3 linked regions of the Struthio camelus genome follow. The protein of the gene in region 2 interacts with the protein of the main gene of each other region in a pairwise test. Links are inferred from orthologs where the notes say so. Each region holds a gene or a part of one and is shown on either strand. Other genes may lie near its edges. The genes, in order: PTPN3, WDR6 and G2E3.

Region 1 (10,138 bases), on a different chromosome or scaffold from region 2:
AGGAAAGAGCTTGAAAATGTCACAAAAGTCTCATGACTCATAGCCAGAAGCTATGATATGATGAAAATATGATGAAATTAAAGCACCTCTTACTACTTTGACCATAACTTGTGAGTTTACACGTTCAGATTAGCAAAACTCAAGATGTATACATTTGAATTTTATTTGCCACATTAAGGGACAGTGGGAGAAGAACTTCAAGAAAGTTTACAGCATAAGAGTTTTGCAAGTCTTTAAGAAAAAGCAAACAGAGAACACAAAAAGCCAGTCATAAGAACATCTGCGCTTTGTAAACAATCCTCACGGAAAAACAGTTTTCTGCTCCTTCATCTGTATCATCATCTCATCTCCCTCCCTATTTATGATTAGCTGATAAAGTTATATTCTAAGCTTACCAAAGTACACTTTTTTTTTTTTTGGTTTGTAGCACAGACTTCAACACACCTAGGATCACATCAATTTATTATGTTCTAACAAGATCAAATCGACTGTTAGGACCTGCAGCAGCGCTAACTGCATAGTGCTCTCATGCCAGTCCTTCTTGCATTAAGAGAATAAGAAAAAACAACAAAAAAAGGAATAGCACCACCACCCAAAATGGCTAGCAAATTTTCTAATCCCTGCACATATTAGGGTGTCTGCATTTTAAAAGAAAGCAATTCCTACACACAGTGAAGAAAAAAGTACAGTAAATGCATGACAGAACACATCCTATCTTGCAAACAATCCATGCTTTCTGTTTTTCATCAGCATTTAAACAGTGTATGCTTTAGACCAAAGAAATCCAAACATTTATATCTTTATATCCCTGTAAGGGAATTTTTCTCCTCTCACTACAAAATTCACACGCACCTAGCAACTGCAGCATAAGGTACCTCAAGGAAAGCCCATTGCAGAACTTTAATCTAAAATAGACACTGTTTCTTCCCTCTGCAGCGTATGGACCAGCAGCAATCTTTTGGTCAGTTTCTTCCTTTCAAAAAACCAATTCATTTAGCCCTCAATCAAAATTCAGTCACTTGGTCAGCATACAACACCACTCAGCTGCCTAGCTGGCCAGCAGGTGCTGGCTGGCTGGACAACTCAACAGCAGCAGCTAGCTGCTCAGGAGCACCTGGACACATTGAGAACACCTCCTTTGATACAAGCAAAATGCCTTGCTGCCCTTCATCATCATAGGACAGGTGATAATACTGGGCCAGACATACGTCATACAGAAATATGCCAAACCTTCTACCATGAAGCGACTAAACTGTTACTTTGCTTAGTTGTACAAACTTTTAATTCATGGCACTGGCAAAGAGGTAAGTCTGCATGCTGCAGTTACTACAAATCACCTGCAGAGAAGCAGGTGCTGCTCTGAGAGCTGATGTCCAACCCCAAATCAACAGGAAGGCATTGGGTAATCAGTACTGAGGTCAGCAGTGGTGATACAGGGTAGAAGTTAGAAGGGAGAAGGCCTGTAATCACAGAGAGCAGGATGGGGCCAGACAATTCTTGACAGTGAAGTTAAGGGGAGTAAACTGGGGCAGGGTAGAGCATGACTTTGGAAAGGCGACTTGGTAAAGATCTACTCACTCTCTTGACTGAGACAACCCCCACCCCTTGTTTTTCCCCAACTATCCCAACAATAAATAGTGCCTTCACAAATAATTCAAGCCCACGTAGGGTTTTGTTGTTGTTGTTGTTCATTTGCTTTTAATGCAGCTGCCCAACTAATGAGCACTTATAATAAAGCTTCCTGTTGCTACCTTGAAGTAACAAGTCTCATGAACCTTATAAATATAAGCTTGTTATATTCCCTTGCACAGCAAGACTGATTTAATTCACAAAAATAAACAACTTCCTTGTTTTAGAACACAAGTCTATTACCTACTGAACTGCTGATATTGTTGAGTTTTGGAGCCAGAGGTTGGTTTAAGTCTCAAATCAGTTCATATGTGAAATGGTGCCAAGCATTTTTAACATACACACACACGCACCCACACAAAAATCAAGTTTTCCCAAGTAGATCTTACAGTCCCCAATCCTTCCTAGTTCAGCTTTTGTATTCCCGGCTGGCAGGTAAAATATTTATCTACTTCCCTCAAAGCAATCTTAGCATGCTGTGGCAACTGATTACAGAGGAATGCAGGCACAGTGCCAACTTTGCTGCTTTATACTAAAACAGGAGCAAAAAGGAGAGGTTGTTTATAGTGGTGAGATCCAACAAATCTCTCCAGGTTCCCTCACCATTAAGCACTTCACAGGACAGCGGTAACAAGTAACACTTCCCAAAAGGCAAATTCCTCAAAACATAATTTGGAAGGGCTGGGAGAGAAGAGGGAGTGCACTATAGCACCTTATCAAATCAGAACTATAATCACAGTACAGCCAGACTGAAAAAGAGGACAAAAGTCCAGAATTATTGTTTTCTTTCCTTAGCGTTTCTTTCACAACCATGTAATAAACTAGAAGTGTATTTTAAAGGAAAGGCATCAAAACAAAACCTGGTTGAGAACACAGTACTATGTTCTGATTCTGCTGAGGACAAGTCAATCAACCAAAAGCAAGTATTTTGCCAAATCAATGTTCAGGTAAACAGCCAGTTTACCTGAAAACATCAGATTGTCATAAGAGTTTTAAAGGAGAAATTAAGTTGAAATCAATACTTCAAGCAATATTGTCAAGCTTACTTTGCTTTGGTAACTGATTTAGATTAGCTACTTTATTTTAAAAGCTATTAGCTAAACCTTTACATAGAGTCCTAATATTTAAGCTTATACTGAGATTAGGAACAAAGATAATGACCTTTATTCTAGATTACCTACCCTATGTTACACCTCTGTAAAAATCACTCAGCTCAGTTTATTTAATCTTAATTGTTTTTCTAGTGCAAAATGTATCAGGTTGTGACCATGTAAGTGGTCTGCTCATCCACAAGAACTTTCTGAATGTGACATCAATATTTACATATGATGAACACGCTCAGTCTGCAGCTGATCTTTGGAACCAAAGTACAAACTCTGGCCTCTGCCATGTACACTTTTCTACTACTAATAAAATCTAGAATTTCACCTAAGCAAGTTAGTCTCTCAAAAAAAACATGAAGAGGGGAGAGAACACCTTTAGCATGTAACAGAGATTTATTAACTGTTAAATCCAGCCAAACTTCAGATATGTAAGGTATGTAACCTTCATCAGCGTTAAATTCAGGAAGCAGCTACAGCCCTTTTTGAAGCAATATGACAGGAACAGGAATCTTTTAAAAATAAAAGCCATATGCAAAACTAGTCAGAGTAAGTGGTAGCAGAGGTTTTTTAGGGATTGAATGCAGTTACAGGATGGCTGCCTATCCTGAGTTTGCAAACTAAAAGCAGCCACGAAACAACAAGAACCACAGCAACACGTTCGAAAAGGAAGGTTATGACAACTTCACAGTGCAGCACTGGCTGACAAGGCAGTTCCAAATCACGGGGAAAAAACAGAAAGAGAGAATGCCTCCTTGTCTAGTTCTTACCGCATTCATGAAAAAAAGAACTTTTCTTTCCATCGATCTTGGAAAGCACTAGATCAGACACCGTTCAGATGAAAAAATAAATCAGAATTGATAGGACTAATTGAATCAATGATTAACATAGGACTTGAAGAGTATAAGGGGTTCCAAAGAGAATAAGCAGATCAGTCATGAAACAAACTATGAGTAAAAGCATAATGCAATGGGTTGGAACAAAGTAAATAGTAACAAGAATATGAAAGCAATGCAGAAGTGGAGGAGGAAGAAATTATAGATTAGATAAGATAGCAGAGAGTGGTTATCTGCTATTGTTGAAACGATGATGAAAGTTTTTTCCTAATGAACTAGGAGATCAGAGCCAGAGAGAAAGGATTTAGGAAGGGCAACATACTTATGTGTACAGATCCCTACCAGCACCACTTAAAAATATATCTTTCATTAAATATAGACCATCAATTGCTGTGAAGCAGCTTAAGGAAAAAATCAATTCCCTAGGAGATTGTAGCTTGTTTTCCTAAATTTATGAGTCTAGACAGGTTATATCAGATCTCTCTTCATCAGTCCACTGATACCAAGTCTCAGGAATTCAGTGTTAAAATACAACTCCTGTTCCAAGGGCAGTAAAGAAGGGATTAAAAATATTTACAAGCAAAAGAATTACATATCTTTTGGAATAACATTGATAGATAAATTAAAGGAAGAAAAGACAAAATTAACCTTGTCATATTACAGTCAACTGAGAAACCATTGAGGATGACAATTACTTAGGAGCAAAAAGCAGAGAACTGCTTATTTCTGTTGGTAAAACATGCGTTCTGAATTTTTGAAAAGTTTGTTTCGGCTCACCACTTTCCTCGGATAACTGTTTCCAGAAATCCAAACCTCAGAGCACCATTTGCTTCCAACGCCAGCAATTTTCTTACTCTGCAAGCTGAACCACAAACTAGGTTTTAACACTGAATCTAGCAATGAGTCTGGCTGTGCTAGGCCCCAGCAGCTTCACTCTGAAGTGAGCAGTTCAAGGAACTCCTGGCCGACCCTTTCATACCATTGAGCAGAACATCTATGCCATCAAACAGAAAACAGAAGTGCATCTACTGCATCCTCCTGCTGCACTGAAATTGAATGTGGAGAGCCAAAAAAAGTCTCACTAACCAAATAGTAACAATTCAATACTAGGGAACGAGGAGCACGTTCACAAACAATGACCAAAGGTGGTGTTTCCAAAACACCTGAGATATATACTAATTTAGAAAGTTTGCTCTGTCTTATTGCTGAAAAGAAATCTGATATGAATCCTGTGCATTCCCTGCTTGTTAGAAAATGGACTAAATGGCAATAATAAACATTTAGAACAGAGGCTTCCTTTATTTTAGGGCTAGCCTGTTTGGGGATCTTTTGTCCTCCCCCATTCTCCCCCAAGGAAAGCTGTCACCTCAATTATTATATTTCTAATTGTGCAGACAAGAGTTAATTATAATCTAACTATCAATACAGAAAGATGACAGCAATATCAGTGCTGGAAGCAGTGCTATATGTTTGCATATGGTCTGTGATGACTGTATTATGTCAGAAAGTCAGGGAAAAATAGGGAAAAAAAAATCTATATTAAACATCTCTTCTCACAGGCAAACAGAATGGAAGCACCTTATTCCCAACTTAAGTGACAGGTCCTAAAATGGTTAGGTGCTAGGGGGAAAAATAAAAGTATACTTGATCTAGATGCAAAGAAAGAAGATATGAAATGATAAAAAGAAAAAAAAAACCCCTAATCTATAGCAATAATATAGCAGGTAAAAAACAGAAGGCTTTTACTTTAGAGGAGCACTGATCACGTTAACAATTGTTCCCTACTAAATGACTCTTAACAAGCTAGAACAACTGTGTTGGTTACCTCTCTCCCCTTCCCTTCCCCCATCCCCCAGAAAAAAGAAAGAGCCAGAGAACAGCAAAATTCAGACGTAACGGAGAAGGAGTCACTGTAAAAAAATATGCTTATAAAGTATTAGGCTTGGGCTGCAAAGTTGAGCATATGCAATAGTAGCCAGAAAGTTGCTAGCCAAACTCAGTGCAAATCATAATGCAACCAACTAGTCCCTACACTTCAGTTGATATGCAAGTAAGCACATTAGTACACAAGATTTTGAATATTTGTGTTTTTAAGCATATTTTCCCATAAGGAGGCTTACAGGACTCTGTCATCTCCACTAAGAGCTATTGAAGTCCCAGTCTCTAAAGAGTGGGTTTAAAGTTTGATGTTTTCTGATGCATTATACACATTTCATTGATTACAGATCTCACCATGCCAACACAGACCTTAGCATTATTTTCTGAGCAACTACACCACAGAATTTCCTTGGCAAAATTTGAAATGCTAGGTAGCATACCGTTACAAGGGATGTTACAAGCTTACATTCATTTTTGAATGTTTTCTGCAATGAACTGTCTCACAAAAGCAAGAAAAGATTTGCAGTAGGAAGTCCAACCACTAAAGGTTGCCATTTTGAAGAAACCTGGTTAATAATAATAAAGTCATAAAACAAATCAGGCTTCGATCACTTCAAATCGTCTTGAAAGTATATATATGCGATTCATAAGTTTGTCTTAACACGCTCAGTTCATTTTGCAACATAAAGCCATGTACTCAGCCATAAAATCCTCTTCAGTTAGGCATTCAACCTTTGATTTACATATAAACAATGAAGAAAAAAAGTAGTTGGTACAGTTGGTCAACTGTTTTCTGGCTATCTTTGAAACACGGTTTTGAATAACAACCTGATAAAGCAGTGTTTAATCAAGCAAAATCCCCTATGAGGCAACCTGACTGAGAGCTCTTTCTTCACTTTGGACTCTGCTCTCATAGGCATAAAAATAATTACTAATACTAGCATTACGGCCGTCTCTCCAATACAGAACAGCGTCAAGTCCTATCGTAACAGTACCACTGAGCAGTGGTAAACATTTTCACTAGTGGACTAACTTATTTCCCACGTTTATTTTCAGCAGAACAAGATCTGGGCTATTTTAACAAGATTAATGTTATTGTTATAGGATTAAACTATCACCAATACTATAGAAAAACATGGCTATGCATGAATTAAATCACAGAATCATAAAAAAAGTCTAGGCTGGAAGGGAATTCTGGAAACTACCTGATCCAACCTTTGTTGAAAGTAGGGCTTTAAATTAGGTTACCCAGGGTCCCATCAAGCCAAATCTTGAGCATTTCCACCGAGGGAGACTCCAACAAACCTCTGGGCAACCTATTCCAGTACTTAATTGTTTTTCAAGAAATCTGTGAAAAACATTCCAAACACATTAAGAGGAGTACATCGGTAGTTCAGTACACCAAGAAACAGACCCTCAAATCCAATATGCTATCCTAATTATCACGCTGTCAAATAACTCATACTCTAAGTATGAAGTGAAAACTGAAATTTTTGTATTGCAAGAATTATCCACCGCTAGAAGATTGTCATATCTTAACATCAACAACGCAGCAAGTACAACTATTAGAAGCTTATGTCTGCAGAACATTTATTTCACGTAACTACATTTTACTATATATACTTTACATCAACTACAATACCTCTAACTGCTCAAATTATTTGGATATTACTGAATATTTTAGTAACGTATTACTGACCTCTTTCAGTGTCTGCCTCTGCTACTGGTCACTCTGTCCTACCGAATGCTAAAGGCACACCAGGGTGATCACATACTACTAATCCCATCTCTTCCAGCATCTAGACTCACTTAGCTTTGTGCAATGCACAACTTCGCAATGGATTAGTCATGCAAGTTTCTTTATTCAGGGCAGTCCGGTAAGTAGCAAGCATAACTCTGCACCGCTCCCTAAAAAGCGCACAGCATAACTGTCCAATAACTGGGATCCAGATATTTCAGTCTACAACTTTCCTTTATATTTAAATCAGTTACATGCTACATCCTTCACTGGTATCCTGCCATTTTGTGACTATCATGCATTTCATAATTGGTTAATTATTTTATATGCATAATAAGCAAACGTGCAAGTTCCAGAAATCAGCAGAATCAAAAACTCAGCACATGGCGTATATCTTTAAATGCCCTTTTTGGGCATTTTCTAGTCTGCTCATTCTCCTTCGTGCAGCACTTATATAAACCTCAGCTGGCCAAGGCACTCACTGTGCTTAGGGGCCTACTAGCATGACCTTTAAGTCAGGTATCTAGTTTCTCATTTGCTCAGCTAGAATGAGATCAGAATTTGGATTTTGAGCCTTCATGTCACTGCCTCAAGCTATAGCTTTGTATAATAAACCCACAGCTATAACTGCGTTCCAGGGATGACCACACACCTCAAATCATTCAAAAATTAGCCTATTCATGCGTTACCAGGTATATATTACTACCAGCAAGACACATTTTTAACCTCTTTTAACAACAAACCAAGCTAAAGTAGATCTTCAATTCTAAAACCGATGAAATTTGAAAGAGAACAAAAATATGCATCAATCTTCACAAACATGGCTAGGTGCAACACTGAATAGAACAAAGATCATTACTCCTGAAAAGAAATTCAGGAAAGAAAGGTGGTGAACACAATGGAAACTTATTGGTCTCTGAACAACAACTAGCAAAGCTGGCTTTCCTGCAGGTTTTTGCTTTACAGTCCTAAGCTGCCATCTCTCCAAACCTGAGCTGCTCTTCTCTATTGCTCCCTGATGCCAAGCCTTTGACTCTCCAAAACGTTTCAGTACCCGCCCCCCGCCACAGCCATACATCAGGGTAGGTAGAGTGAGGCAACACTGGTAGTGGCTGAGTTCAAGTCAGGCACCTGCTCAGTCATTACCCTGCAGGCAAATTGAGTAGCTGCTGAGCCTCAAACTACAGACCTTTCCTGACTGAGGCTCCAATCCAGAGCCTCTTCTACACTATTTTCTTTCCTATACAATTTTTCATTTAATTCATAGTGAGCTTACTGTCTTTAGATCTAGATCTAAGTTTTTATAAAACTTGCTGAAACTAACAAACAGATTTAGAGAGTAAGGGAGGAGGAACGAACAACAAACATGCTCTTAAGACAACAAAATCGATCCAGGAGGTTAACGAATGATCCAAAGTTGTTGCGGGTCACCTGACAGCACATTAAAATTAAATGTACTGAAGAAACTGAAACTTTCACCTTGCTTATTCGTCAGGCATCAGATTGCCAAAAGGGATCTCAATGGATGGAAAAGAAGGAGAACAACAAACCTAGACTCATCACACTGTCCGGCCTTATCTGCTGGCGAGAAGCACATCCTCTCATCACCTTGAAGTTGCCATCTGATCGAGCCAGTAAAACAGGCTTTCTTTTTCTTTCCCCTCCCCTCCTCGTGCTAAGAGTTCAACTTTACTTTGTAATGTACAGCAAATTGTTGTAAAGCTAGTTTTTCTCCTCAATGCCAGAAAGAAGAGCAAATGAGCTTCAATGGAGGATGTGAGCCATATATAACCAGGAAAGGCTGTTACACAATTCTAGGTATATATCTGACAATTTAAAAACATTAATATGCATACAATTGACCTAGTACTGTTAACAAGTTTTTCAGAGCTTCTTAACATATGGCCCAAAATCTACTTTTGTACTGAAAAGGTCATAATGATCGGCATGCTATCTTTGTCCTAGAAGTTATTTTACTAAACTAGGAAATGGAAGAGAAGAAACTGAATTTGACATTTTAAGTTAATTTTCTGTTTACAAATGTTTGGGGGAAGAGGAAAAGTGGGTAGGAGATGGAAGGAGCAGGGAAGCACACAGGACAAAACAAAAATTACTTTTGCCTTCGGTAAACAAATGGGCACTTAGTATACTAAACAATATGCTGATTTCTCTCTTTCATCCCAGCTTAATACATACATTTGTCTTTTGCTTCCATCTTTGACACCCAAAAGAGAAGTATTTTTAAAAGTTTTCTTATGCTTGGAAAGATTTATTTTCTAGGCAACTAAAAAAACATATGCAGAACAACCTAGCATAAAACATGTCACTCTTTTTAAATAAGCCAAATGCCATAACATACACAAGTTAACAAGTAACAGGGTTTGTAATTGACAATTTTAACAAAATCTCTCTTCAAAATATCTGATCATATGGCTAGCTTTAGACTGCAGTATATTAGATTTTAAGGTCTCACTTGTTAAGACTTCAGTTCCATTCATAAAGTAATCTCAATAGATGCTGTTGGATATGTTATCCATCAAAAATGTTTAACAGAAGTCAGTACATTCACAACTAAGAACAACTGATAATATAAGTAAGCTTGATTCGCTATGTAAGAAGGTCACAAAACTGTTCAGCCAAGGTTTTCCCTTGACAGGATTTTTTTTTTTTTAAAAGAAAGATTATCTGCATCATTCATGAATTCAGAATCTAGGATCTACCATAATTAACAGCAAGCTATTCTAGTCGCTAGTTCTAGTCTGAATATATCCAGCTTAATATTCCATTGAGTCATGTTATTCGATTGACACAAAAAACTTAACATTGCTCCCAAGCAAGATATATCTGTTTAGAAACCAAGTATAGCTAACTAAGTGGGACTGTTTAAAAAAAAAAAAAAAACACACTGCTAGCAAAGGATCTATAGTCAATATAAATGGGCATGCAATAACATGACT
Region 2 (10,832 bases):
CTTCTCCCTCCACTCACCCCTCGTTTTCAGGGAGACCTCTGCAGCGGGCTGGGAGAGCTGCCGTGAACTTCACTGGCTGGGTAGGGGAGGGCAGACGAGGTGGATGTGGTCTTGTTGATCAGCTTTTGGTGCTGCCCTCCCTCTCTGCCGCTGCAGAAACTGTGTCCCAAGCGGACGCTTCCGCTCCTCCTTCCGCTGGTCTCCCAAGGGCTCCCGCTGGCCTGGACGTGCGCTCTAACCTCTGCTGCTCTAATTAGAGTGTCCTCAATTAAGCGACTCTCCATTTCCTAATCAAATTAAGTGAACACACAGGCTGTGCACACACTCTTCCAGCGGCCCGGCGTGGAGAGCTGCCTGAGAGGAGCTGCTTTGGAGTCAAAGCAGTACCCATGTGAATGCCTAAATATCCGGAGGGCACCCGATGTCTCGCTCCTCCGAGTTGATGGCGTTCTTGGCAGGGATAGGAGCGGATGACTGAGTTGTCAGTGGCTTTTCCACCATTCTGGACATTAACAAATGAAAAGTCCTGTTGAAGTGCTCTTGGCAGGACCTTGCTTCCAGAGTGCTGCTTCCCTCCATTGTTACTTTGGTTCATGACACCGAGTGGCCAGGTCACAACCTGGATGTGGCACTACGTCATCAAAGACCATGGGGAGTAAGGGGAAGTGGGGACAGGGAGATGTGAGCAGGGAGCTAGAAATAATAACGGTGAATAATTTGGTCATGAGTGCCGATACCTGGGGAAGTGTCCTAGGCTGACCTCGGCGACTGCTCTTTCCTCCCTCCTGCCTGAGGGTGCTCTGTGCCCAGGAAGCAGCCCTGGCATCGCAGCAGCAGTGTATTTACTGCCAGAGCGAGCTCCACTCGCAGTCTGGGGAGTTGCTGCCTGGGCACTGGGTCCTGCAGGCGCTTTGTTCTTCCAGTCTGGAGTTAAACATGTTGTGAGGTGTCGATGTGTGCTCGCTGCTGGGCTGCCCAGTGCAGCGCTCTGCCTGCTCTGGTCTCGGGGATCTGGTCCCCAATGACAGACTTTCCTTCTTCTCCAGAACGGGGAAAGAGCAAAGGGTGAGGATTTCTCTGAAGCTGACAGAGGCAAAAATCCATCCCTTGCCAAGTACAGTTCAGTGCAAACAAGAAATACCCGTTCTAGCAAAAGCCCCTTTTTACCTCTCACTTTTCTGTTACTCTTATTTATGCCGGATCATTCTCTGTTGTATTTCTCTCTCATATTTTTTAATTATACAAATGCAGAACCTCCTGCTTGTTGATTTGGGTTTGCTTTTTTTAGAATAACCCTAAAAGGTCTTGCAGAAAATGTGGACAGAGGTGTCCCACTCTACTTAGATACTTAAAAAGGCATGTTTAAAAGTAACAAGACCCTCTGAGAAGTCAGCATACTCAGATATTTAGCTACAACGTTGCATGTGTTAGAACTGTAGTAGTTATTTCTCTTTTCAGATGGATTGGTTTGTGTTTTAGGAGCTTTAGAAAGCTAAAAATTGTATTTTCTCTGTCCTAATGCTGAGTGTCCCCTGCAGCTGAAGGCTCACTTCTGCAGGTTGCTGTATGCCCTCCACTCACCTAAAGGCATTGCTGGGGTCTGTACTCTTGTGCCTACAGTGGTGGGCACTTACGGGTGCTTGTTTGAGGAAGGCAATTTCAGCAGTGCCCTCAGCTGATGACTCTGAGTGCCGGACACGAAAAACCATTACCTATGGGCAGCTGCACAAGAGCCAGCCCGCTTTTGTTCCCTTCCTGTAGGTGTGCTGAGTTTGGAGGAGTTCAAACAATTGAACATCCGTGATTTCCACAAGTACATGGGAAGCCAGAAAGTGAAGATGAGTGACTTGGTGCGGAACAGCCAGCACACCTGGCTGTACCAGGGCGAGGGGGCGCACCAGGTCATGCGAGGCATACGGCAAAGGTAAGGGCTCCGGCCAAGCGGCCGAGGGGCAGGAGGGCTGGTGCAGGCACAAAGGCCACCTGTGCTGGGAGATGTAGTGGGAGACTTGTTAATATTTACATTTCCTAATTGCGTGAAAGCCTTTGGAGTATAAAGAGCACTGAGCGCAGGCATGAAATGGGGAGAGGAGGTTCTCATTAGAACAAGAATTTGTATTGTCCCATGGAAAAGGGGGGAAAAAATCAAACCTTTCAACATCTCCATTCACTTTTGGGAACAGCCTACTAAAACCAAGAAGACTTGGCATTATTTGATGCAATTCATTCCAATTAGTAAAAAAGCTTACTGGGAGAAACTGTTCATTTCCAATGCTGTCTGGGTGCCAGTAGTTACTGTCATTTGCTTTAGCTACTCATGCATTTCACTGAAGTCTGTCTTAGCTGTTCAGAACTGACTTTTTAACAAGCATGATTTTATCTCAAGTAAGCTGAGTTAGTGTAATCCTCTGAGCACACGTCTAACAGGGCGCCTCACAGCAGATGGGAGAGCCTTTCATCTTTCCCTTCATCTTGGATTTGGTTATTGGGAAGAGTTGAAAACCAGCACCCAGGCCAAATCGTTTAGCTGTGGTGAGTTTCAGATAATTGGCTGGGGACTCTCTTGTTCTTGTGGTGCTGGTCCTCGCCCAGGACATGGGTGGGTAAAAATCTGTCCCGAGGTTCGAAAATGGCTCTTGGCCGCTCCTTTTCTTCAGTGCATTCCAGAGGGAGAACGGGGTCACACGTTGCCTTGATTAGAGCAGAGACAGTGGGTGCCACCGGCTCTGTGCCAGCTAGCCAGGGCCCACAAGCATCAGCATGTTGCTTTTACGCTCTTTGGTTTGTCACTGCTAGAACGCCTCTGTGGAAGTGGAAACTTGATGCTGAAGGAGGCTCTTAAAGTCCTCCATGGGACCATGCGGTGCCTGGATGGGCTCCGCCACCCTGATTCAGTGCTGCACCCGCCTTGTGCCTGTCCCCAGGGCTTCAGCTGTCTGGATTCTCAGAGCTCTAAGTGTTCTTTGGCAGGTCTCGAGAGGTACCTGCTTGCCTTGGGGATGATCTCAGATGTAGCAGCGGAAAAATCCCAGAGCAGGAGGGCTCCCATCTCCTTGATCACTTCCCATGCCCCTCTGCCCTGGGGGGAGGCTGTTGAAACGGCAACAGGGAAAGGTGAGTTAGGTGACAAGAATATTCCTAGAGCTAGTCTCTCCTTCACTCTCAGCAGGAGCCCTTTGCTTTGCTAACTGTCCCCGAGGTCTGTAGGTGGTGTGCAGGAGTCCTGAGAAGCAATGAGATGGCACATGAAGGCTCCAGGGACACACACAGAAGGGATCTTTCTGAGCAAGCAGCCTTCCTGAGAGCAGTCCTGCTGGAGATGCACCCTTCGTTTTTGTTTTTTATTAACCTTGACGAGGAGTTTCTGAGCTGATGCTGATGGTCCAACAGATCTGTAAGGACCTAGTTATCTCCTGGCATGCTTGCTGCAGCCCATCCGTCTGTCCGGTCTGTTGGGGAAGGGGGTTATCTTTCTCTGGATTTGTTCGGTGCTTGGGAGTAGAGGCTGACCAGGGTAACAGTGCTTTCTCCTCACCTGTTCTACTCTCCTCTTCCCCAGGGTAATGCGCCTGACTCGCTTGCCCCCAGAGATTGTGGAGCACAGCGAGCCCCTCCAGGTTGTGCGGTATGACCAAGGAGGGCACTACCATGCCCACATGGACAGTGGCCCTGTGTTCCCCGAGACTGCCTGCAGCCACACCAAACTGGTCGCCAATGAAAGTGCTCCCTTTGAGACCTCGTGCCGGTAAGTCCTGCCTTGAAACCTTGGGGTTGTGCTGCATGCCTGGCCGGGGCGTTGCAGCGGTCGTTCGGAAGAAAGTTTTTTATTAACTTATCTGGAACACACTAACAGAAAGGTGTGGAGAGCCGGTTCACCTCACCTTATGCGGGGGACTTAGTGCTCAGGTTGCAGGCTCAGAAACCGGCTCTGGAGATTGCTGGCTTAAATGGGTGTGAAGGGAGAAGTGAGCGAATCCTGCGGGTCTGCAGGCCAGTGAGAAGAGCCAAGCACGCTGGTTCTGCCAAGCTGCTGGGCTGTCCCCACCAGAGGCCAGAATTGCACTGTCAGCATTGCGAGTGGAGATTTTCTTTGTTGTCCTTGTCTTGGCATTGGAGAAAAGCTGATGTAAACCATGTGTCTTGTGATGTCTGGGAGTTACCACTGTATGTATGATGGAGGGGCAGGATATGGACGGTTGCCACACATCTCCTGTTGTTCCAGTGGTGTCCCCTGATAGCCACTCCGTGCTCTCTCTTACAGCTACGTGACAGTGCTGTTCTACCTGAACAATGTGACTGGGGGAGGCGAAACAGTCTTTCCTATAGCTGATAACAGGACATACGAAGAAATGGTAAATGACTCTCCTACTTGTTATCCCTGGGGACTTCACTGTTTCCTGACTTTGAGCGCTTCTCTAAATCTCTTTGTTCACTGTGGCTGCAAAAAGGGTTTGGAGGGTGAGGTTGGCAGACGCTAGCCTTTTCAGCTAGAACATAGGAAAGCTGTGCTCTGCGTACTGTCTTTCGCTCAGAGACCAAGGGAAGATGTGCAGGGCTTTGACAACTGCAGCTTTCACTGCTCAGAGATGTGTGAGAAGCCCTTGCTGCCATAATGCAGCTCCTGCTTGCTTGTATCTGGGTAGGTTTTCTCAGGCTAAGTCTTGGCCAGCATATTGTGCTCCTGCCAAACCATGATTTAAGGAAAGGGGAGCTGCTCAGAACCAGTCATGGGCTTCCAGGGGGCTGAAATTGGCTGCTCCAGATGGGTTGTGAAAGCCCCGTCCTGCCCAGTGCCTAGAGCTGTTCCCACGGAGCGTTCAGGCAGAGGGCAGGATGACGACTGGCAGTGGAGGCAGTACAGTCTGCGCACTTTCTTCTAGCCCTGTTTACCATCCCTTCTCTGTGTTTTTCGTCAGTCTCTGATCCAGAATGATGTTGACCTGCGAGATACTCGGAAAAATTGTGATAAGGGCAATTTGCGAGTGAAACCTCAGCAAGGCACTGCTGTCTTCTGGTACAACTACTTGTCAGATGGAGAAGGTACCATCCCATTTCAGGACTTGGCTCTTGGGCGGGGTAGGACTGCATGGGGTGACAGCCATCTTTTATGGGTTTTGCTGTGGCTGGGTGCTCAGAGGAGAGCCCCCCCCAAGGGGGTGGTAGCTGCCTTCCAGTGGGAACTTTTGAGTCTACTTGTCACCAGCTGGGTAGGATCTTCCTGGCTCTGAAAGGCCTTTGTTTACAGGCAGTAGGTCAGTAGCTCCTGATGGCTTTGGGGGACAGGACTAGTTAGCAAACAAAGACCGTGGCTGTTACCAGCCATCGCCAGCTGCCTTTCTTCCTGCTGTGTGAGCTGAAACTCCTGCTGGAACTTGGTCCGCAATTCAGAATGTTTCAGTGATGTGGTGTTGCCCGAAGGAGTGGGGAGGGGAGGTAGACAAAGGCACGGCCATAAGCTCTGTAACCCATATGGGCATGGTCCGCCCCGCGCGAGGCTCTGCTGCGCTTGGGGTTTGCTCCTGCTGTATAGCTTAGCTGCAGCCTGATGATGTTCAAAGGGTGGCTGTTTTTCTCACAAAGTTCAGTGCAATTTTTTCTTGTCCCTGACATTCAGTCAGGCTGGGGGATAAAGTTGGATCTTCCAGGCTGTTGGTGAGTATGACTCCAGAGCGTTTCAGTGACAGAAATTGAGCCTTGGTGGGGAGAAGGCAAGTGGTATCTCACTTCTCTTGGGAGCGGCCTCTGTTTCCATCTCTAACAGAAAATCCACAGATGAAATCACAAGGCCAATGTTTGGGCTGTTGGATAACGATGTCAGGACCATCACTGTCCTGTAAGAGCCCTGTTGCTGTATTTTTATGAGCAAATTGTTCCTAAACAGAAGAAGGCTGCTGATGTGAGTCTGACACAGAGAAAATCCATAGGACCTCTATAAATAGATCAGCTGGAGCTGCTGAAATGTGGTGTCTAATATGGCCTTGAGCTTTTGACTTCCCCAGAGGCCTTCTAGTGGCAGCACCCATGTCTTCCATCCCAGCCTCGGCTGTTGGGAAGAGCTGAGAAAAACAGCAGCTGTGATACAAAACGTCAGCCCCTGGTGCTGAGTGGAGACACGAAGCAACCGGCAGTTGCTCATGCGCCGGGAGCCTGCCCTGGGCCGCTCCTTTCTGCTGGGATTTGGTAGCATTAAGGCTGCTCCTTGCGGCCCTGTGATACCGCTGTGTGCTCACAGGCTGGGTGGGGGAGCTGGACGACTTTGCGCTGCACGGAGGCTGCCTCGTCACCCAAGGAACCAAGTGGATCGCCAACAACTGGATCAACGTCGACCCCAACCGGCGGCGGCAGCTGCGGTTCGAGCAGGAGATGGCGCGCTATGCCGGAGCCGGGGCTGGGGCCGGAGCTGGGGCCGGGGCCCCGGGCGAGTGGACGGTGGATAAAGCCTACAGCGGCGTGCACGTGGAGCTGTAGGGTTGGGGGGGGGGAGCGGGGGGGGGCAGCGGCTCTGCGCGCGGTGGCGCGCACGTGGCTTTTTCCCGCGCTGGGCGGGGGAGGGCGGGGCCGCGGGGCGCGCCAATAAAGCGTGGAGACACGGCCGCCGCCTCTGCGTGCTGCGGGGGCGGGGCGCGGCGCGGCCAATGAGCGGCGAGCGCTTCATCAGCGTGCGCGGGGCGCGGCCAATGGGCGGCGAGCGCTGCCGGGCGGGCGCGGCGGCGGCGGCGGCGGCGGGATGGAGTCGGTAGCGCTGGTGGCGCCGGTGACGGCGCTGGAGTTCGTGGGGGACGTGCTGCTGGCGGGTGAGCGGCGGGCGGGCGAGGTGGCGGGGCCGGGGCCGGGCTGGGGCTGACGCGCTGTCCCGGCAGGCACGGGCCCGGAGGTGGCGGCGTTCCGGCTGAGCGGCGGCGGCGGCGCGGCGGCGGGGCGGCGGAGCGTGCTGCAGCAGGCGAGCGTGCAGGGGCTGCGGGCGGAGCCGGGCGGCGGCGGCGGCGGCGGCGGGGCGGTGCGGGTGGCGGCGTTCGGCGGGCGCTGGCTGGCCGTGCTGGCGGTGCGGCGCGGCGGCGGCGGCGCGGGGGGGGCGCTGGCGGCGGCGGGCGGCGGGGCGGCGCGGGAGGTGGGGGCGCGGGTGTGGGAGGCGCGGTGGGCGGCGGGCGGGCGGCTGGCGCTGGCGCTGGGCGGCGGCGCCGTGGCGCTGTACGAGTGGCGCGGCGGCGGGAGCTGGCTGCGGCGGGCGCGGTGCGGCGGCGCCGGGGCGCTGCGCTGCGCCGCGCTGGCCGGGGCGGCGGCGGGCTGGGCGCGCCTGGCGCTGGCGGCCGGCACGGCGGCGGGCGCCGTGGTGGTGTGGCGGGCGGCGGCGGCGGCGGCGCCGCGGCGGCGGCTGCGGGGTCACCGCGGCGCCGTGCTGGCGCTCAGCTACGCGGCGCCGCGCGGGCTGCTGGCCTCCGCCTCCGAGGACCGCAGCGTGCGGCTCTGGGCCGTGGGCGAGCTGGGCGGCGACGGCGCCGCCGCCTGCCTGCTCGTGTGCTACGGGCACGGGGCGCGCGTGGGCGCCGTGGGGCTGCGCGGCCCGCGGCCCGTGAGCGCCGGCGAGGACGGCGCCTGCCTCGAGTGGGGCGGCGGCGGCGGCGTGCGGCGGGCGCGGCGCGGGCACCGCGGGGCCCTGCGCGCCCTGGCCGTGCGCCCGGCCGGCGGCTACCTGGCCACGGGCGGCACCGACGGCGGCGTCAGGCTCTGGCGGCCCCGCGAGGCGGCGGCGGCGGCGGCGGTGGCGCTGGGGGCGCCGGGGCGGCCGCGGGCCGTGCGGCTGGCGGGGCCGCGGCGGGTGCTGGCGCTGGACGAGGCGGGCGGGCTGGCGGCCTACGAGGCGGCGGAGGGGCGCTGGGCGCCGGTGCTGGACGCCGGCTTCGCCGCCGGGCCCCGCGGGGTGCTGGCGGCCGTCCCGCTGCCCGGCCGGGCCGACGCGCTCTGCGCCCTGGGCGACGGCGACGGGCGCCTGGCCGTCTTCGCCCTGGACCTCCCGGACCTGGTGACCCGCGCCAGGCTCTTCGAGGGGGCCGTGCGCGGGCTGGGCTGGGCCGCCCGCCCCGGGCTGCCCCCCGACGCCGCTGCCTTGCTGGCCTCCGGCCCCCACGGAGAGATGCTCTGGCTGGACGTCGCCTGCCGCCCCGGGCGGCCGCCCGCCCTGCGCCTCAGGGGACGCTACCTGCTGCCCCCCTGCAAGCAGCGCTGGCACACCTGCGCCGCCTTCCCGCCCCAGGGCGGCCTCCTGGTGTGCGGCGACCGCCGCGGCTCCCTCCTCCTCTTCGCCTGCAGCCGCCCCGCGGGGCCGGCGGCCGAGAGCCCCGGCTCTGCCCACGCGCCTTGCCCGGTCGGCGAGGACTCCGGGAGCGAGTCGGAGCCCTCGCTCTTGGCGCGAAAAGAGGCTCTTCCCCTCGAGAGCCCGCTGTCCGTCCTCTTCGGGCTCCACGGGAAGACGGGGGTCACCTCGGTGACCTGCCACGGCGGCTACGTTTACAGCACGGGCCGGGACGGCTGCTACCGCCAGCTCCGCCTGCGGGCCCGGCAGCTCGAGGTGCTGCGGAAGCACAGGCCCTGCAAGGGGCTGCAGTGGCTCGAGGAGCTGCGCTTCGCCCCCAGCGGGGACCTGCTCGTGCTGGGCTTCCACGCCGACAGCTTTGTGGTGTGGAGCACCAGGACCGGCGAGAACCTCCACTGCGTCCCCTGCGGAGGGGGACACCGCTCCTGGAGCTACAGCGGCGGCCCCTCGGCCGAGGCCTTCGCTTACGTCAAGCAGGGGGACGTGATGCTCTACCGCAGCGCGGCTGAGCCCTGCGAGCAGCGGGTGCTCCTGGCGTCCCTGCACGGGCGGGAGATCGCGTGCGTGCGGCGCCTGGGGGCCGTGCGGGCGCCTGGCCGCGCCGCCGTTGACGTCTTCGTCACCGGCAGCGAGGACACCACGGCCTGCGTCCTCACGCTCAGCGAGCGCTCCCGCGCCGCCGTGCCCCTCGCCACGCTCGACGACCACATCTCCAGCGTGAGAGCGCTGGCGCTGGCCGGCCCCGCGCAGCCCGGCGACGCCGACTTCTCCACCCTGCTCTTCTCTGCCGGGGGCCGGGCGCAGATCGAGTGCTACCGGCTGCTCTTAACCGGGGACGCGGCGTCCGAGAGCACCGTGGCCTGCGAAGTCACCCACCTCGCCTCCCACCGCCTGGACGAGCACTGGGACCGGATGAAGAATAGGCACAAGCTCGTCAAGATGGACCCGGAGACCAGGTGACGCTCGGTGGCAGCCTGAGGCTGGCTCGGCCGCGGTGGCGGTCCCGGGACCTGCGCTGGCCAGGCCCGCTCGCTGCGTTAGCGAACGGCTCAGCCCTTCCTCCTGCCGCCTCCGAGCGCTCGGCGCCGCATCCCGCGCCGGCCGCGGGCTTCCTCTCGTCACCCGGGCAGCGAGCAAGCGTCGTGCGTTTGCCGCAGGTACATGTCCCTCGCGGTCGTGCCCGGGACCGAGCGCCTGCCGACACCCTGCAAGTTCCTGGCTGCCGCCTGCAGCGACGGGTCTGTCCGGTGAGGAGCCGCCCTGGGCCGCCGGCGCTGGGGCACGAGCAGCCTCAGCGGAGGGGGTGGTGGCCCCGGGCTCCGAGGCAGGAGCGGGAGGGCGCGCGTAGGACGCGGACACCCCGGCAGGGAGCTGCGGGGAGGGAGGGAGCCCCTTCTCCCCGAGCTGACCGCCCTCTGCTCCCGCGCAGGGTCTTCGGGCTGCTGGAGGCCGCCCGGAAGCTGGTGCTCGTGGCGGAGTCGTTTCACCACCAGCGCTGCGTGCTCAAGGTGGAGACCTTCCTGCACGGGCAGGCGGGAGGCGCGAGGTGAGCCCTGAGCGGCGCCGCCGGCGGAAGCGGGCGCTCGGCCTCGCGGAGGTGGGGGGGTCCGCGTGACGGGGACGGGAGGCGGCAGGGAGCAGCTCGGGCCCCCGGGCGCGCGCAGCTCCCGTGACGCCGCTCTCCTAGGAGGCGCTTCCTGTGCAGCGCGGCCACCGACGGGAGCGTCGCCTTCTGGGACATCACCGTCCCCATCGCCGAGGCCGCGGACGCCCTGCACCGAGCGGAGGGAGCGATGCAGCCCCTGGGTGGGTGTCTCCGCCGCCCCCTGCCCCGTCCCGAGGGCGGCTGCGAGGCGGCGGCAGCTCCTCCGCCGTCTCGAGCGTTGCTGCTCTCCTGACGCAGCCTCTCCTCCCAGCCCTGGGCGCCCCGCTGCTCACCGTCGTGGCGCACAGCTGCGGCGTGAACAGCCTCCACGCGCGGGAGACGCCGGACGGCCGGTACCTGGTGGCCAGCGGCAGCGACGACGGCTCCATCCACGTGTGCCGGGTGGAGGTGACCCGGGGCGAGGAGGCGGCCGCGCCGGGGGCCTGCCTGCGCCTCCTGGAGCGGCTCTCGCGGCCCGGCGCCCACGCCGCCCACGTCACGGGCATCCGGGTGCTGCGGCCGGACCTGGTGCTCTCCGCCTCGGTGGACCAGCGCTTGACGCTGTGGCAGCTGGGCCCGGGCGGCCTGGAGGCGCTGAGCACCGCCTTCTTCCACGTGCCCGACCTGGCGGAGCTGGACTGCTGGGAGGCGCCGGCGGAGCCAGGCGGGGAGCCGCACTACTACTGCGTGCTCTGCGGGCAGGGCCTGGAGCTGGTGCGCTGCGCGGCCCCGACCGCCCGCCCCGAGCCCCCGCCGCCCCAAGCACCCCGGTAAAGGTCGGGGGGGGGGAGGAGGCGCACGGTGATCCCCGCTCCCCGTGTTGCTGCGGCGGGCAGGGCGGGTGCCACGAGCGCTACGTGGCGGCCTGGCAGCCTG
Region 3 (10,057 bases), on a different chromosome or scaffold from region 2:
CTGATCCCATCCTTTTTACATCCTCCCTGCAGATATTTATACACACTGATAAGATTTCCCCTCTCAGTCTTCTCTTCTCCAGGCTAAATGGTCCCAGCTCTCAGCCTTTTCTCTTATGACAGATGCTCTAGTCCCTTAATCATCTTAGCGCCCTCTTGAGATCATGTTAATCAACTTGGAAAAAAATTCAAACAGTACTTGTTTATTAACACAATTTTTTTGTTAAAAGTTTTGTTTTAAAGAAAAATGTAAAGCTTACAGTTTGAAAGTTAGTTCAAGTGGAATATGAACTTCAGAAATTATCAAGTGTGATAATCAAAGTGTTCGGGTTTAGATTACATCCATAACTTTGCCCAACTTTTATTGAACTGTGACATACCACAGCTGTAAATTATCAGTAGGTGTCATATCACTAAACTGAAAAGTAGGATCGTTTCTCTAGTGTTGCAGCGTACTCCGTAATGTCACAGAATACCTCACCGCCAAACAAGAACCAATGATAAAACATGAATAAACATGAAAGCTTTTCTCTATGGTTTTCCATTAGAGGTGGAATTTTGAAATACGAAATTGTTCACTTTCTTTTAAGACACACCTTTATTGTTGTGATTGGTTGGGGTATTACCTAAGTAATTAACTGAAATTAATGAGGAACAGAATTTAGCTCTGAATAAAAGCTTGCTGGGGTTTATTTACTTAGTTTGCTATACCTGACACGTACAAGCCTTCTGGCCTACAAGTTAAAGCTGAAAGTTCAAGACTTCCAACAACAGCCAGTTTGGACAAGTAATTTCTACTTAATAAGCATTACATTTACTTTTTCCTCAGGTAAAACAGATGAGCTCCAACATCAATACCAAATACATACCAAACAGTAATAATGAACAGTGAGATTGTATTCCACATAGGTTCTCTTTTCGCCATACTTTTCAGGGCAGTCATCTGTCCGTCCACAGAGAACACAGGCTAAAATACAGAACTGTGTTTTAGGATGCTTTGTCATATGCTTACGTGCTTTTAAAACATTCAGGGATTTGAGACAAGTTTGGTGTCAACTAATCTCTGCACTTCCTAGCCCACCAACCTACTTCTACAGACACGCAGTATTCATCTTCTCTTTAAATCTCAATAGAGATATAGAACTTTTTTAAATCTAGAAGTATTTTCAATCCTCTGATATCAAGAACAGTCATAGTAGTGGAGAGAAAAGAGATACTGCTTCAACCTAAGAAGAAGTCTCGAACGACAAATCTCACACACAGCTATGTGTAACCTGGCAGCTGAATTCCCAAGGATACTTTTTTAGAACATCTGCAGAAAGGTCTGTATGAACAAATCCAAGGAAATTGACAAGAGTTCTTTTTAATTCCCTGAGACATGTTGTACCAACACAATTTGACTCTTGATAATTCACTCATTCTTTGAGACCAATAATGAGCTGTAGATGGTGTTAAAGATGTATATCAACACAAGAGAAACCTTACTTACGTGAGCTTTGAATGTCACAGTGGCTGTTTTCATTCATTCTAGTGAATTCTTCTAGCTGTCTATCATGAAAAAGAAATGGCACGTTACATATGTCTGCTGCATTGAGAATGACCACCAATCATTGCTTTCCAGATTTACTTTCTGTTGAATTCAAAAAAATCCCAAGACTCAGCAACATTTTTAAAATGGAAACAAGACGACTAATATCAGAATTCATCTGTTCTTCTGAAAGATAGAGGTTCAGAAAGCTGGATGAAGATGTTCAGAAGAAATACACCCAGACCAATGGAACATGCAACAACTTCTCTCTCTTATTTCCCCAAATTATCAGCAAGATATTTTATGTATAAAAGTCCAATACAGCAGCTAGTTCTTTCGAAAAGAAAAATAGAAGAATTTATAGTTATTTTCAACATTGAAAATAATGATCCAAGTACAACCAAGGCAGTGACTTCTGTTCAAATTAAAGATTTTATTAGCATGAGTATCTTAACGAGAAGATAAAAATTTCTCCCTTTTTTGGGGAAAATGCAGGATCCTAGCCTATTCAAAGAAACCTGATCTAAGTCTACAAAAAAAGCTGTGAAGAATACAAGGCAGGGAAACACAAGGGAACGTGCACTGTTAAGAACTATACGCCTTATATTCTAAAGAGGAGAATAATCTGTTTAGAAACATGAGCCAAACTTGCATTTCTTTCAAACATCATATGACCCTAAAAATTAGATCCATAACACCATTAGTCCACCTCAAAAAAAAAAAAGTCTTCACCACAGCACTAATATGATTATCCTTTCAACAGTGCAACAGAGCTCTTCCAGGAAGATATCTGCAGATCTTTGGCGTGCCTCCTCTTCGGAGCTGAAGAAAACATTACAAAAGCTTGGGAAGATAAGAGTCATGGGAACGCTTCCTGCAGATCCATGCTTGACCTTGCAGGCAGGTGAACAACTTCCTTGATAAAACTCAAAGCGGGCAGGGGAGGCAATTGCAGCAAGTTCAACCTCCAAACTGAAAGTCTCAGACTCCCTGCTTTCAGAGCTTTGGTATTTACAGCTTAGATGACTGCCAGGTAAAGATGGCTTTAGGAACAGCTCTCAAGCTGATCCCAATTACTGCAAATACAGCATTGCAGCCATCTGATTAGAGTTTTAGGAAAGAGGTTGCGCCAAGGAGTGAGGAAGAGGGGGGGAGAAAAAGGAGGCAGAACTCTCAGGCAAAAGGCAACTGTTCTGTGCAACTGCACTTCTTTAAAGAAAACCAGAGTAGTTGTATAAACAGAAGATTTTTGCCAGAAGACACTCTAAAAGCAACAAAACAAACAACGCTGCAACCAATTCAAGTGAAGAGACCCTTAAGAACACATATTGCACTGTCAGACAAATAATGAAATGAGAATCCAGTTCTCCCAGATATGAACTTCCGCTTTTCTACATTAAAAAAAAAAAATCAACTCAGGGACATAGAGGAAAAGACAAGAATATCTTATTATATCTTTTCCTTTCTTTTCGGGATTTCCCAAAAAAGGTCACAGCCCTCAGTCTACTATGGTAATGCAACAGAATATAAACATCTGTATAAACACAGACTGGTTTCTCAGTTTAGTGAGTACTGAAAAAAGCCCTATAACATGGAGAAAGCACGTATTTGCCTGGAAACAACATAACTCCCTTCCCCCCTCTGCTAGCTCCAGCAAAAGAGAAGAAAAATGCTACCCACCCCCAAAAAATCCTACCACCTTTCTCAAACTCGTCCAGGATAATGAGTCCTGGAGTTCACATTTACAAGTTAAAGAGCCAATGAGAACAACCGTAGAGGCTCCATGCATAAGTCCTACAGCGCTTTCTACAGAAACAAAGCAATTCTATATTAGTCTATTTGCAAGACAGGAACACGTTATCACCCAGTGTTTATAGAACTAAAGTGTAAATAAATCTTATCTACCATGCCTAAATAAGCTAAGCCAATTCGTCAGAGTGGCACGAAGTTTTGCTAAGTGCTACTAGAACTGTTTCTTTACTGCTCCAGAATGCAAGCTTTCTTTTTTCCCCCCGTGTTTTTAATTGGGGGATGGAAAAAGCACAAAAGTAAGAGGCAAGATTTCAGGTCTACCTTTTCCATACCACATGAACAAAGCCTACATGGAACCTCCCCAGATACGATCAGTTAACGATGTGTCCTAAATTTACATACGACTGGGTCTCCAGTACATCTCGCCGTTTGTTTACAACAATGCTACGTCCTGAAAGCAGCCCTTTACCCAGCGCACGGACTGGAGCAGGAAAGCTCCCTCCACGCTTGGAGGAAGAACAACCCCGACAGACTACGATTCATAAAGTCACTTACTGCCCGAGTCTCCAAAGGCTTCAGCCTCCGACTGGCGTGACAGGGAGAGCGGGAAGATTTTCTCGCAGTTATTCCGCTATCGCCTGCCCAGAGAGGAGCGGCGGGACCCAGGCATCGCTGGCTGCCCGGAGCACAGCCTGGGAGGCTGCTGCGCGGTCTCCCCTCGCGGGGCAGAGGCTCCCGCCCCGCTGCCAGGGCGGTTTAAATTACCCCGTCCCTCGCCACAACGCCCCGCCTAGCTCTCCTAGCCCTTTCCAAGGCGTCGCTACCCTCGGCTCGGCCACCCCAAGAGACCTTAGGCTAGAGGCAGCAGGGCAGAGCCTCAGCCCAGCTAAGGCGTTACTCACCCGGCAGCCGCCCCGACAGCACCGCCGCCGACCCCGCGCTAACCGACACACAATTCAAACCCCAACATCCGCCAGCGTCCCGGAAGCGGCGAACCCGCCCGCCCCGCCCCGCCCCGCCCCCCAGATCCGTCACATCGGCACTCAGCCACTTCTGTCGGGCACGCCACTTCGGCGGGAGGAGCCTAGCGATCTCGGCGACCGGCACTTGACTGGGGCTGACTGGCGGCGCGCGCACAGGCGCCGCTGGCTCCTGCCCCCGGCCCGGCCGCGGGCGTCGCTGCCGGGGCGCGATGGCGGCGGGCGGGCGGGCGGTGGTAGGGAGGGCCGCCCCTTCCCTTCCTTTCCCTTCCCTTCCTTTCCCTTCCCGCCGCCGGGAGGCGGGGCGGGGCGGGCCGCGCCCGCTTCCGTGGCAGTGGCAGTGGCGCGCGGGCCGTCAGCGGCCGGCGGGGACGTGGCGGAAGGGCTGCCTGCCGCCGGGCACGGCCAAAACCCTGCCAGCCTCGGTGGCCAGGCAGGAGGGTTTTACCGTCCCTCACTCAGCAAAATAGCTGGGCATAGAGTTTAATAAGAATAGGATCAGGCGCAGGGTTTGGACAGACAAGCGTGCTGAGCAGCAGCTTGTTTACACACAGCTGCTCCCTGTTATCCCCCTTCTGCTCCATTTTCCTGTGCTTGGTCCTAATCTGCCTTGATAACCACCCTTTCCCCGTTTTTGGCGTCCCCCCAAATACTCCAGAATACGCTTTGCACAGTCACACAAGCACCCTCACACATAGTAAGTTTGTTCTTGCCGTGAGGCTTTTGATAATCTTGTTTCCCCCTTCTTATCAACCAGTACATAGTTCTGGCTGAACCTCCTCAAGGCTTTGACTGGTTCCTTCAGTCATCAGTGGCCTGCGGGATCTGTTTCTTGGTATTGCTTCCGTTGTCTCCTGTCCCTTCCGGTTTCTGTGTCCGGGGGGGTTAATTTATTACTTCTGTCTCTTGTCCAAGTCTTGTATGCTGAATAGCTGTTAACCAGAGAGCCTCAAAAAACAGATTATCCTGACGTATCCTTCCACATATCCTTACAAAGTGTAATTCTGAAAAAGAAGAAAGACACCTTGCAAAACAGGGCAAGAAGTAGAGATAGGTAATTAATAACTTGCTAAAAAATTTTTTTTTTAAATTAGTATCGGTTTTCCTAAATGTGCTTCCATATGATGGGTGATCTGTTTTATCCGATAAGCTAACACCTATCTACTGTATGAACAAACCAGAATAAATTCAGTCTGCTATGTGGATTTCAATCTAGATTTTGAAGATGAGAGTATCACTCTTGGCTACCCTCTTTCTGACTTGTTGACTGTTCTACTGAAGGAGGTGGCATTGTATCAGTGTGAAAGAACAACTTTAAGGCTGTGTTCTGAGAGTTGGGCCTTAAACCCGTCTCCACATTCTGGATGAATGTCTTAACTAACGGTCTGCTGAATAAAGAAAGGATTTTGTCATTATACTAACTCCACCTTTTGTAATGTATATCTTAACTCTTTTACTGTATGCTGATAATTTCTGTTCTGTTTGTTTTTCATTTCTTGATTTTCATTTCAGCAAGGAAAAACCTAAACATTTTTTTCTTTCACCCTCTATCAGTTATTCAGGTAACCCTACCCAGAAGGGAGAAAAAGCTCCAAAGGAAGAATTAACGTGTGAATGTATCTGCATGCCTTGCTGTTTTTTACGGATTTTTATGAGGGAGCCTCAAACGTTAGCCTGTACTTATATACAAATCTGACAAGTGATAGCATCCTCCTCTAAGCACCCAAAGTATGGTAGGCTGTCTGGAATTCCAAATCATGTATGGAGCTGCTCAGTGATGGCTTGGCTTCCTAAGTTTTTAGGGCCTAGTTATGCAGGCAGCCTTTTATACCTGATTTCCATGGCTATATATTCATAAAAGTTAAAGAATAACTAATCAGAGCCTTATTCTTTAATTGTTTGTAGGAAAAACAGAAAGGTGGACAGTTTAACTTAACATTTTTTTTTTACCATCGCCTTTTTTAGTTCCTTTGTTTTCAGATGTCCCTTTGAAAAGTATTAGCTTGCTATTTACCACAAAACACAAGTTTTTTCCTAGTCCTCTCCTATTATCTCCTCTGGTCCTTGTTTGAATGTTTTGGTCTAAAATCTCTTCTGATTGTTCCCCGTGTCTTTTAAATTCAAACATACCACCTCTTGGCAGCAGGATTTTTCTCACAAAACAGCAATTTTAGGTCTCTTGGTATTGGGTTGCTCAGATAATAAGCAGGTATGTGAGCAGCAGTGGCTGGGAGTGATATTTCTCCTGCTGTGAGACTGTGTGGTTTCTTCACCCAGCAAAGCTCAGATACAGCCTGCATTACTGTGTTCCATTGTGGGGCATGAGTTTATTGTGTTTATATAAATGCAATACCACTTTGTGCCATTCCTTGGCCTTTCAAACAGGACATAAGCTCAGTTGCTTATAATTTTTCCTTCCTGAGCTAAAAGTTTAAATGGTCCTTCTCTTTTAGTATATCTGAACAGTGAGTAATGATCAGCACTCCACTAAGGGCAAGCCAATTGCATCTAATAGATGGACCTAGGGGAATAACCACAGTATTGAAGTGGAAGTGATTACAAGTATTCTGTCTCTTATCCTTTCTGAACTTGAGAAAATACTTAAAATTACTTTTCTACGTGTCACAACCAAAGAGTTATAGGTCAGATACCCATAGCTTTTAAACTTATTTATTGAGATTTTTAGGCTAATTAGAGAAACTTAAGAAGCTTCTCCTTTACTTCCAGTAAATAAAAGGCAGAAAAACTTCCATGATCACATATTTACTTATCACGTATTTACTTATCATCGCCCAATCTAATTAAACAAACTCTAGCCTGTAGGTGTAAATGTTTTGTTTTGCTTGAATAGTTTATGTTTTGTTTTATGTTTGAAAGATATACTTAAATGTCAGTGATACTTGCCATGTAGAAAGTATTTTGTAGAGTGCTTAACTGCAGATTGTGCGTGATGCTACTTAGTGAAGTATTTGATTAAGATGCAAACAACCAGTGGCAGTATCTGTTCAGACAGTAAGATACATCCTGTTTTTTAAAGCACAAGAAAACACTGCCTGTTCTTCTGTTTAGGCGTTTTTCCTCTTTCCAAGATATGAGTGTAATAGTAGAAGAAGGTTTTAATATATAGCTGTAAGACCACAATGTTAGAATTGCATGCTGAGGGCCAGCTTTGGGGTGTAAATCCAAAGGCAAATAGTACCTGACGCTGGCTTTTGTAGTACATTAAATAAAGCTGCATTTCTTACAACTGTTTGTTACATCACTTACTGTGAAAAATAAAACTGTGTATTTGTATTAAGTTCTGCATTTCATGTGTAACATTCCTGCATGTTAAACTAATTACTATATTGATCTACATCTTATTTATGAAGAGTCAGAAAAGAAGTATAGCTGGAACTCCTACTCATATCAAACTGCTCATATCAAACTACTCCCATCAATTGACCAGCTAGATAGTACAGAGGCTTTCATGTATCTGCAATGATTAATCTCTTGCTAAGTTGCGGTTGAGTCGTGCATGAAGACCTGAAGTCATCCTGTCACTTCAAAACTGGGAAAGAGGGACTTTTCTGCTTTATTTTTCCGCCATCAGTCATGTCCCAGAGATTAAGACCCTGTGAAACTCTGAGAAATTCCATTTTTTTAAACTGTTTATCTACCAAGTCACTCTCAGTTGTCTAGATAATTATTTAATAATGCTATATTCATCCACAGATATTGGTAAGGACAGCATGTGGAATACTGCTTTGTTCTAATAGAAAAAATGTACTGAACACATGGAATAGCTTGGGAGAAAGAGCTAGTAGCTAAGAAATCCAGTGAATTTTCATTCGTACTCTTGTCAAAGGAAGGCAGATTTGAGCAGGAGAGGGCTTGGGTGTATAAATTCTGTGAATCAACTGTGGTTGATTAAAACCAGGAGAGAGTAAAAGAGCGTCCTATTGATGTGTACTATTTATACCTTTTTTAGAAGGGCACTTTGTTTGCCAAGTTTACTCACTCAAAATAATCTCTGGATAACTTTTCCAGTGCATAGTTTCAAGATCTACGTTTTAGACAGATTAACCTGTAAGACTGTAAGCTCTGAAAGCACCGTACAGTTGTAATCCTTTGCTCCGTGTCCTAAATTTTAGTTGCTGTACAGATTATGACTAATAGGGTAGTGATGAGTCAGATCAAGCTAGAGTTGAACCCATATTATCCTGGTTATGGAGTGATGTTTATTGCTATCAGTAATTAATAACCTTCTCTTAGCTATGGAGCAGTCCACAATTTACAGATGGCTTTCCAAATTACTGACGGGGAAGCGTTTTGTATTTTTCTTTACATAGAATAGAACAGTATTTGGGACATTTTTGTTATCCCGTCATGGCATATCTGGAGGTGAATATTGGGTCTGCTTCCTGAGGTTCATCACATCACCTGAACACTATTACTGTTGTGAAAACAGACGTAAAAAGTAAACCTTGTTTGATGTCCACATTCCCCAAGAGACTCAAACCTTCACAGTCTTAAAATCACTGTTGATCTCCATTTCCTTTGATTCTGATCATTCTGGACTTCATTTTCCTTTTTGGTGGGATAATCCACTCTGAATAAACATGCAGCAGCAGTACATGCTTCCCAAGTCTCCAAAACTTCACAAGCAAGACTTACATTCTAGCTGTCATAGAAACAAGAATATCCCAAATGACCTCATTTGGATCAAACGTTTTTGAAGAATGGCAGTTATTGCCCTGGAGAGTGGACCTCTTTTTATTTTTTTCCTGCAGAATAGGGTAAAACATTGGGCAGTGGCACAGTAAATTTCTTCATGCCATGCTGCCACTTGGATTGAACTGTGCACTAGTAGGGACCGGGTAAGCAGATCAGGTTTCAGCAGTCTAATGAGACTTTATATTGTCCCAGCAGACAGCAAATGTGATTACTTGTAATAGCTCAGATGCAGCGATATGGCTCTATCCTCAAAGTTACAAAAACTTCATACGTCTTTACGGAGTGCCAGTCACTACCAGTTTGTTCTTGATTTGAGCCAAAGACCTCCAAGGAGAAAGATTCTGCCTCTCTAGTCCTGGTTCTCTGTGGGCAGACCACTGAGCTAAGGAACTTGGCAGATCTCGGTTCTTTTCCTCATTCTGGCACTGGCCAAAATTGTTTAATTTTCCTCTGTCTTAGTTTCCCAGTCTGTAGGGAATGAATAATGATATTGATTTTCTTTGCAAGATATTTTGAGCACCATTTTTTAAGAGCTCTGGGCATTATTATCGACTTGAGTTCCCTTAGAATAAAATTTAAACTCTTAAACATAGTTTTAGAAACTGATTTAATTCAATACTATTAAAACCTCAAAAAAAATTTCTTACATCAATCAAATGAATTGCTGTTGTTATCTCTTGTTATTTCTTGAAGTGTAACAAATTAGAATCAAAGCTTGGAATATAGTTGCTTACAGGAGCATAGTTGCGAGTGAAAATTACAATCACCACTAGATGGAGTTAATGATTTTCTAAATTATTCTTTTTAGATCTGTATATAATACAGAGTTGCAAAATGATTATCATCACTGTTTGAGTTAAGTGGAATATGATAATTTAAGTAGCTCACCTGTATCTTGTTATAATTGCACTATCTGTTCTTCCTTAAGCTTTAAAATTCTATGAATTTTTTCACCTCATCTAAAATATTTTTTCCAATTTGATGCAGAATAACAATATTTTAATGGAATTCTTTATCAGACTTACAACATCTGGTATCAATGCTCACATTCTCTATTCAGCAATGTAAGTTGCTGTTAAAAA

The links.
Region 1: the proteins of WDR6 (region 2) and PTPN3 interact in binary tests that used the Homo sapiens proteins (3 or more experiments, as listed by UniProt). The two-hybrid records come from large-scale screens. The link is inferred for Struthio camelus from reciprocal best matches to the Homo sapiens genes WDR6 and PTPN3.
Region 3: the proteins of WDR6 (region 2) and G2E3 interact in a two-hybrid assay, tested with the Homo sapiens proteins (2 studies listed by BioGRID and IntAct). The two-hybrid records come from large-scale screens. The link is inferred for Struthio camelus from reciprocal best matches to the Homo sapiens genes WDR6 and G2E3.

The regions. Positions count from the first base shown.
Region 1 is NC_090943.1:70,022,044-70,032,181, forward strand, and holds the start of PTPN3 (tyrosine-protein phosphatase non-receptor type 3), read right to left. Parts: upstream 4,607-10,138; 5' UTR 4,591-4,606; coding exon 4,545-4,590; intron 4,498-4,544; exon of another isoform or gene 4,343-4,497; intron 1-4,342.
Region 2 is NC_090955.1:10,157,837-10,168,668, reverse strand, and holds the start of WDR6 (tRNA (34-2'-O)-methyltransferase regulator WDR6), read left to right. Parts: upstream 1-6,704; 5' UTR 6,705-6,727; coding exon 6,728-6,794; intron 6,795-6,860; coding exon 6,861-9,267; intron 9,268-9,468; coding exon 9,469-9,558; intron 9,559-9,740; coding exon 9,741-9,857; intron 9,858-9,998; coding exon 9,999-10,117; intron 10,118-10,227; coding exon 10,228-10,730; 3' UTR 10,731-10,832. Other genes in the region: P4HTM (transmembrane prolyl 4-hydroxylase), read left to right, coding at 1,762-1,924, 3,560-3,745, 4,262-4,352, 4,917-5,040, 6,233-6,468. UniProt on the Homo sapiens protein: Together with methyltransferase FTSJ1, methylates the 2'-O-ribose of nucleotides at position 34 of the tRNA anticodon loop of substrate tRNAs. Required for the correct positioning of the substrate tRNA for methylation.
Region 3 is NC_090946.1:53,054,479-53,064,535, reverse strand, and holds the start of G2E3 (G2/M phase-specific E3 ubiquitin-protein ligase), read right to left. Parts: upstream 4,445-10,057; 5' UTR 3,835-4,444; intron 1,548-3,834; exon of another isoform or gene 1,544-1,547; 5' UTR 1,526-1,543; coding exon 1,489-1,525; intron 967-1,488; coding exon 869-966; intron 1-868. UniProt on the Homo sapiens protein: E3 ubiquitin-protein ligase which accepts ubiquitin from an E2 ubiquitin-conjugating enzyme in the form of a thioester and then directly transfers the ubiquitin to targeted substrates. Essential in early embryonic development to prevent apoptotic death.